Linked DNA regions of Tribolium castaneum. Each later gene encodes a partner of the first gene's protein in a complex. Links are inferred from orthologs where the notes say so. Each region holds a gene or a part of one and is shown on either strand. Other genes may lie near its edges.

Evidence for each region.
Region 2: wash (region 1) and CCDC53 share a complex: the UniProt entries of both Drosophila melanogaster proteins name them as parts of the WASH complex. The link is inferred for Tribolium castaneum from reciprocal best matches to the Drosophila melanogaster genes wash and CCDC53.

Annotation. Positions count from the first base shown.
Region 1 is NC_087403.1:4,501,248-4,504,728, reverse strand, and holds wash (WASH complex subunit 1), read left to right. Parts: upstream 1-1,339; 5' UTR 1,340-1,440; coding exon 1,441-2,523; intron 2,524-2,581; coding exon 2,582-2,770; 3' UTR 2,771-2,819; downstream 2,820-3,481. Other genes in the region: adenosylhomocysteinase-like 1, read left to right, coding at 2-122, 170-176; uncharacterized protein LOC103314773, read right to left, coding at 2,860-2,902, 2,953-3,101, 3,148-3,200, 3,245-3,344. UniProt on the Drosophila melanogaster protein: Acts as a nucleation-promoting factor by activating the Arp2/3 complex to induce actin polymerization. Participates in both linear- and branched-actin networks.
Region 2 is NC_087402.1:711,046-715,315, reverse strand, and holds CCDC53 (WASH complex subunit 3), read left to right. Parts: upstream 1-1,393; 5' UTR 1,394-1,524; coding exon 1,525-1,575; intron 1,576-1,635; coding exon 1,636-1,800; intron 1,801-1,871; coding exon 1,872-2,110; intron 2,111-2,160; coding exon 2,161-2,203; 3' UTR 2,204-2,283; coding exon of another isoform or gene 2,284-2,421; 3' UTR 2,422-2,467; coding exon of another isoform or gene 2,468-2,641; 3' UTR 2,642-2,809; coding exon of another isoform or gene 2,810-2,812; 3' UTR 2,813-3,524; coding exon of another isoform or gene 3,525-3,629; 3' UTR 3,630-3,630; downstream 3,631-4,270. Other genes in the region: RpL36A (large ribosomal subunit protein eL42), read right to left, coding at 2,284-2,421, 2,468-2,641, 2,810-2,812; acidic leucine-rich nuclear phosphoprotein 32 family member B, read left to right, coding at 3,525-3,629. UniProt on the Drosophila melanogaster protein: Acts at least in part as component of the WASH complex which may regulate wash nucleation-promoting factor (NPF) activity and is required for its membrane targeting during endosomal sorting.

The DNA.
Region 1 (3,481 bases):
GATGAGTATGTAGCGAGTTTACATTTACCGACCTTTGATGCCCACTTGACTGAATTGACGGACGAACAGGCTAAGTATATGGGCCTAAATAAAGCTGGACCTTTCAAGCCTAACTATTATAGGTAAGCGGGTTTGGCTTGATTGCCGATTATTGATGTTTTCGTTTAAGGTATTAAAAATATAAAGTTTTATCCATAATAAACGGGGTGAAGGAATAAAGGAACACGGTAGCATTAAGTCAATGTTAGTTGTTGCCAGATAGTTTAGCTATAATAAATGCAGGATTGATCATTTTTTAATGGTTGCTCAACCAATTCATGTTTCATAATTTTACTGAATCAAAAGTATTATTACTTAACACAAACAGTATTTTTTCTGCTAGTATTTATTTACATATCTCAGGATTTTATGAAACATTAATTGTGAAAAAATCGTTACGTTGTTTCAACTGTTGATTCATGGGTAAGGCTTCTGATCTTATTTAATTTTAATAAAAATTGGCGCAATGTTGAAACGCCTTCCCGTGAATAAAAATACGTTACTTACATGTTTGAAACAAAACTCGTGCATATGTAATCACTATCAGGTCTAGTATGTCATTGTTTTAGTTGTATTAAGTTACGTACTTAACTCGTTCTGGTTTTATTAATGGATTTAATAAGTGTATCTGATTGATTTTGTGATGAAGTCCAATGGTTTGTTTGTTTTGTCTCATCCCAGACGCTAGTCCAGTTGAATTGATACGCTTTTTATTAAGTAGTGCCAACACCCTCTAGCACTAAAATAATTTAAATGCAACCAGTTTGTTTAGCCGTTTTGACGTTAGTGATTTTGGAAAGTATTATTTTATAATGAGGATTTTTTACGGTCCTCCACATTTTAAATTATTATTGTTATTGTCAATATTACGACAAATTGTTACAAGTTAATTGCTCTACTTGAAGAAATTACTGAAGCAATTATACTCCACAATAACTTGCCTTTATCAACTTACAGCAGAGCAATCAACAACTCTTGTTAAGAAACCGGAATTGCGACTCTGTTTTTGAAGGCTGTTTTAAGGCTTTCAAAGACAGAATTGTCACATTTTTAAACGTACTTCTGTATACAAATTATCTTTAGATCTATATCTTTCTTTCGATATTTTATTTTAATCCACAAATCACATCATTCACAGCGTGACCCACGGGTCCGCCGTCTTCTTCTTTCTATGCCGTAATATAGAAATTAATACGTCAATGTGTTTTATTTTTATTCCTAAAACCTAAAACAATTTTTTGTCCTAACACAATTTGAAATTACTAGTAAATGTTAATTTATTGAGCTTGCGAATGGCGACACTGCTGTGATAAGATGACGTAAAAAACAAAACATAACCTGCAAAAAGTGTAGAGTGTAGTGTCATTTTTTTAATTAATTAATGTAGTTAGTTTATTTAAAATGAATCATGTTTACAAAGTACCTGTAATCCCTCAAAACTTGAATAAACAGGAAACAATCGTTCAGGTGGCTGAAGTATTAAATCATTTAACGAACGTAACAGATGACATATTAAAACATATAAATAACAGAATTGAATCTAGCAGAAAAAAGATATCAAACATATCCGAACGTGTCGATAAAGTGAAAATGAAAATAAACAAATTGAACGGTGCAAAAAAAGCAACACAAGTGTTTTCAAGTTGTAAATACCCAGCGTCCGATGTAAATCAACCCTATATTTCAATATTTAGCGACGTTAAACCTCCTGAATTAGTACGACATAAAGTGAAGCAGAAAAAAGCCCCATCAAACGATGAACATTTAGATAAATTGTACATCTACCACGTGAAACTCAAAAAAAATGAGAACAAAGAGACGTTCGGCGGCTTGGGGGAAATCCCCAAAGACTCGGAATGCGTAAACGACCTACTCCTCTACAATTCCGGCAAAAACCTCTACACGAATTTCGTAATGTCCGACCCTTTGGAAATCTCCCAACAAATCAAAGAACAAGACCACAACGACAGTTCGAGCATCGGGGCAGCCCCCTTCTCAATCAGCGAACGCTCAACCCTGACGCGCTCCTCCACCCAGAACTACTTCTACACCCCCAACTTGGGGGAAGTCCCGGCGCTCGACGTGCCCCTGGATCTGCCCGATTTGCCCAACATTGCCGACGACCTGCGGTACGACACGGAGTTGGGCCCCGGGATCGCCCCCTCAGTCACCACGACCCCGAACATCCCCGACCTGCCCACAATCGAACCCGCCAACCCCCAGCCCAAGGAGGACTTCCCCGAAATCGAACTCCCGCCGCCCCCAACACCCGCCAAAGAAATTGAGGAGCAAGTCCCAGAGAAGGTTGAAACGCCCAAACCGCCCACACCACCCACTGAACAGGTGGAGGAAGCCCCCAAAATCACCGAACTGCCCCAGCTGGACGTGCGGGCCAGCCTCATGGAGGCCATCAGGAAAGCGGGGGGCGCCAAAAATTTGAAAGCCACAAGTGCCGACAGGGAGCAAACGACGGCAAAACCCGTGGTTAGTTTTCGACTTTTGTTGATTGAAAAAGTTTAATAATTAGTTATTTGTTTTACAGACTGGGGGCGACTTGATGGCTGATTTGCACGCCAAGCTTTCCATGCGCAGGAAGGGCATCTCAGGTACTAAAAAGCAGGAAAGTTTGGACGCAAGTAGTGCGTTAGAAAAAATCTCGGCCATGATTCCGCCGCCCATTCGTAGCGAGAGCAACGAGAATAATACCGAAGACGAAGACTGGGATGATTAATTCATTTAATATTATATTTTATATCAATAAATATTATCATGTTACATAATGATTGTTTTCTTTACCCAATAAATTAATACAATTGTGCGCTAACTGTAGCAGGAATAACAAACTGCGACATTATGATCGTATCTAAAAAAAAACATTTAATTTTTTGAGCCACTCGGAACAAAGCCACTCACGTGGGAAATGAGCAATCGTTACAAAACCCATTACTGCATTTATGGCACATATTTGTGCACTGCAAACATAACGCGTGTTCACAATAGTTACAAATGACCCCCGAGGGGGCTTCTTTTGAACATACAGTACACATCAGTGAATGAGGTTCCTACAAATCAAATTAATAAAGTCTCACACCGATTCACATATTCTACCTCATTTTTCTCGCGTTTGGAGGCCCCCTTATATAATAACTGGAGCGTCCGCTCTGAAACAAATAATAAAAAACTGACATAACCTCAATGTGGTTACCTGACGACGATGAGCGAATTTTCCGCGATTTTGATAAACTATTTTGTTGTTTTTTCACCGGTTGTACGATATCGTAATCCGGATAAGGCCGTTTTGGCATTTTTTACTCTTAAATTACATTTCAAATCCTCACACTAGCGGCAAAAAATGTGGCAGTGCTGCCAAATGACTGACAGACGAAAAGAAGCGCGAGATGAAAGTTTAAAAATTAAACACAAAAACAAGTCCGTGCTTATT
Region 2 (4,270 bases), on another chromosome or scaffold:
TGATGTGTCAAATTTCGCGTTACAGCCTACTCTAGGTATATTTTTAGCTCGTTAAAAGTGACACTGACAGTGCTCATGTCTTATATTTGAATTTTTTAACCTTTTTTTAAATTAAAAAGCCGCGATATGTCGCCTATTACGCCCAAAATCGAAATCCCCCATCCATCAATGGGGCTGTGATCGGAATTATTACACAAAGTTATACAATTTTAAGTGTGTTGATGTTCAATTGTTTGGAAAGTTTAAAGGTAGATTGTTAGTGTTTTCTAAAGGCTTTATATCTTTATATCAGCTGAAGTATTAAAGTTTTTTACAAGTAAACAGTCTTTCATTGCGTCATAAGCTGCAGCCAACTGTCACCGGAATTAAGGTACATGAATGTTTTGCATGATTTTTTCTTATAACTTGTTTTGTTTTATTAATTGGTTGAGCTTATGTTGGCTAACAATTGGTTTGTTTAGTAGTTTTGCGTGATTTTAAGTTAATTTGTGATTTGGCCAATTTATTAATGATTTTTTGTTAGGGACGCACCAACCCTTCCTACTCAACATTCCATCCGAAGGCATTAAAGTCGAGCCCAGAGGTAATTTAATTTTATATTTTTCCCCGCTTTAGTGTTTTTTTCTAGATAAGGCGCCTTCGCCGTACGGCGGGCAGATGTTCGAGGCGCCCATCCCGAACGTGTCGCCCCATTACGTGGCCCCCACGCCCCCGGAAGCCCCTCTGTTCCAGAACGTGCTTCCGCCAATCGGAGGCATGATGAACTGGAATATGCCTTCGACTTCAGTAGTCGGCGATATGTTAAACATGAATTGGAATCCTTCCGCCCAAAATGATCTCAGTGGTGTTAATTTAAGTGAAACGCCAAGTGGTATAAGCAGTTTATTAAATCTGGACAATCAACAATTGGAGTTGAAACCGATTGACTTAAACTCGGGTGATTTAAGCATGCTTGAGACAAATAACTTGTCAGAGACTTTCACCCAAAATCTATCGCTTATGGACGAGAGTGAGGGGCGCCAGGAGCCGAATATGACTGATAGTTTAACGCGATTGGCCAATAGCGCGCTAGATAATATTTGCCAAGCTAGTGATATGTACAAGGGTGCTCCATGAAACCACCATTACTTAAGTCTAAGTAATGCAAAAGCGAGTTCAATATTTGACATTAAATATAACAGTACTGTGTACCGCCCTAAATTCAATGATAGTTTTCTTATAAAATTGTTAAGGTTTGTAGTTTAGTCTATATCAAGTTTATTTATACTGTGATTGTTTTTATATTTTACAAGATGCAATGTTATTTTATAAATCTGGCATAATAAATCTGTTTTATTGAGCGTGTTTGCGTTTGTTAATTGCATAAAAAGCGATCCTTTCGCCACAATCTAACCTCAAACGTCACTTTTGACAGCTGTCACTCAGGTTCTTTGTGTCCCTTTGGAGCCAATTAATTCAATAAACTTGTGCCGATGCCTTGATTCCCCCTAATTTTGAGTGTTTTTCACTCAGATAATGTAAATAATGCAAGTGAACGACCTTTCCTCAATTGATCCAAATGTGGATTACACGCAGGTAAGTCTTTGAAAAAAGCGACCCATTCGAGCAACAATCACGTCCAACTTCTCCACTTAGATTTTACCCATTCAACAAAAGCGCACGATTGCTTTTATCAATCATTTCGTAATGAATACGGTGTCGTTTTTAAACCATTTTGCACAGTCGTGTGAATCGCGTTTGATGGAATTCGAGTACAAACTGCAAGAAGTTGAGGCTTCTTTACTTATACTTGAGTCGCAAGTAAGTATTGAACAATGCTAGAATGCCTTAAGTTCCGATTATTTGGCGCAAAAGTGAGTCGGTTGTGTTAGTTAGGTTCAATTGCGCATTTAGAAGAAAACACTGCAAAGGACTCGCCTAAACAAAACGATTTAGATCTGCCTCCTGTTAAAGACGAGGAGACGCAAATTGAAAAAAATGTAGAGGTAGAGCCTGATGTTGCGTCAGACCCGCGATATCAACGCTTTTTCAAAATGTTGCAATTTGGGGTTCCCCCAGCTGCTGTCAAGCTGAAAATGCAAACAGAGGGACTTGACCCTTGCATATTGGAGTAAGTACTACTATCACTGGCGAATCAGCAACACGTCCGTTATTTTTTAGTTCCAAATCAACTGATACGCAAGACAGTTCCTCGGTTAATTAATTGTGTTAAAAAAACATTGTTAAAAGTATAAATAAAACACGTTATGAATTTTTACAAAATGTGTTTATTTAGTCAAACAATTAGAACTGAATCATTTGTCCCTTGCGCTTCTTGTCGCCACCCAATTCAAAGTGCTTGCAGCGTTTCAAGGGAATCTGTTTCCTATATTTACATTCAGTGCATTCCATCCTGAGCACGATTTTCTTGGTGGTTTTAGCCTAAAAACACACAATAGCCCCACACTCAAAGTAGGTAAAAAAATACCTTCTTCCTGAAGATGGGCTTGGTTTGTCCACCGAAACCTTGCTGCTTCCTGTCGTAACGTCTCCTACCTTGCGAAGCGTGACGTTCCTTGGACTTTTTGTATTGGGTGACTTTGTGCAACTTGTGCACCTTGCATTTCTTGCAGAAGGTGCGCCTCTGCTTCGGGACGTTAACCTAAAAACAATGACATAACCCCACAATTCATCAAACGTCCTCAAAACGCGAAAATAAACAGGAATGTGCCCTTCCAAGGACGCCAAATGCACGAATTCGCTAAATTTTCGGTAATTCAAAGGCCGATTATTGCGATTTTTTGAGATATTTGATTGAAAACCTGCTTACCATCTTGGGATTTTCTTTATTGCAAAAAAAAGAGAGAGATGCAACGTGTCACACTATGCGCATGCGTCGTTTACATTGGCGCGAATTTTGAATTGCTATATTGGATGAAAGATAGAAAAGTGTTTCGTTATAAGTTTATAGAGTTTTAATTCGTTTCACGTGGTCGCAAGGAAAAATAGAAGAAAAAGTTTTTAAGACGCATTTTTGCGGCCACAAGGGAAAGGCGTTTTAATTAGTGGGTAACAAGTCGTGCCGAATAGTTCCCTTTTAAATTGAGTCAATAATCGGCTGTTTTTCTGCATAATAATAAAATGAATGTGATTGTGGAGGGAAATTTTTTGAAGAGCGCCCCTGGCGGTGGCATACTCAAACCACGTTTTTAATCTCGGTCCGGTTCGTAAAACTCAATCCGTGCTCTCGGAACCCTCATGAGCAAACACCTTGCAATTAATTTCATAAAATCTGGCGCACGTTTTTTGGGTCCGAGACACCGAAAAAGCTTGGAATTTGTTGTCTTTTGGTTTTTGGCGGTTGGTGTGAATAAATAGTTTAGGGAGTCGAAAGCCGGTCACTCGTCCAAGTCCGGGGCCGATCGGTTTGAGCGGCGCCATCTTAATTTTTGAACAAAGCTAACGAGTAGCCGGTCAGTAGTGTTCAACGTTGGTGAACGTCACTTTTCGATAAAGCGTGAAACCCACACAGGAATATAAACAAAATGAGTTCGAAAGAAAATAACGAAGTTGCTGTCGAAAAAATCGACAACGACAAAAGTGCGCCCGACGCCAAATGCGAGTTAAAAGGCACGAAGCGAGCGGCGGAGGTGAGTTCGACTGTTTCTTTCGCATTTACGCTGCTTTGCGATAAGGTCACATGGCCGTTGGATGTTGTGGTCGGGATTTTCGCGTGGAAAACGCGCGGAAACGCCGTTTTCACGCGTTTTCCGCGGGATGGTTGCCATGTGAACGGGGCTTTTTCCCGGCGCGGAGGCGGCTTTGCGACAATACGATGCTAAATTTGTTGTTGCCATGGTGTTTTCGACTGTTTTTCATTATGGCATGCGGTGTAAACACGCTTGGAAAGCATCCCGCCATATACAATGGACCCCGGGTTGAGGCTAGCATCGCTTGCTCGATTCAATATGGCGAAATCAATAGCAACTTGGAGGCGTCCTCGTGCGAGGCTAGATGCCACACTAATATTTTAATAACATCGGATTCTAGAAAGATTTCCGCGTGCGAGTTGACGATTTCGTTGCAAATTTCACGATAACCCGGAGATTGACCACTTTGGTCCGGTTTTTCAATGCAAAGCGTCTCATAAAGCTCGCTGGAATCAACAGAGTTGGACATTTTTGATGCTACGCTAACGAGTGGCAAAGATTAAGATCCATCATGGATCAGAATTGTGAATGAAAAGAGCGTTTTTAGTTAGTTTGCTTGTTTATTTCCATTTTCTCGAGCA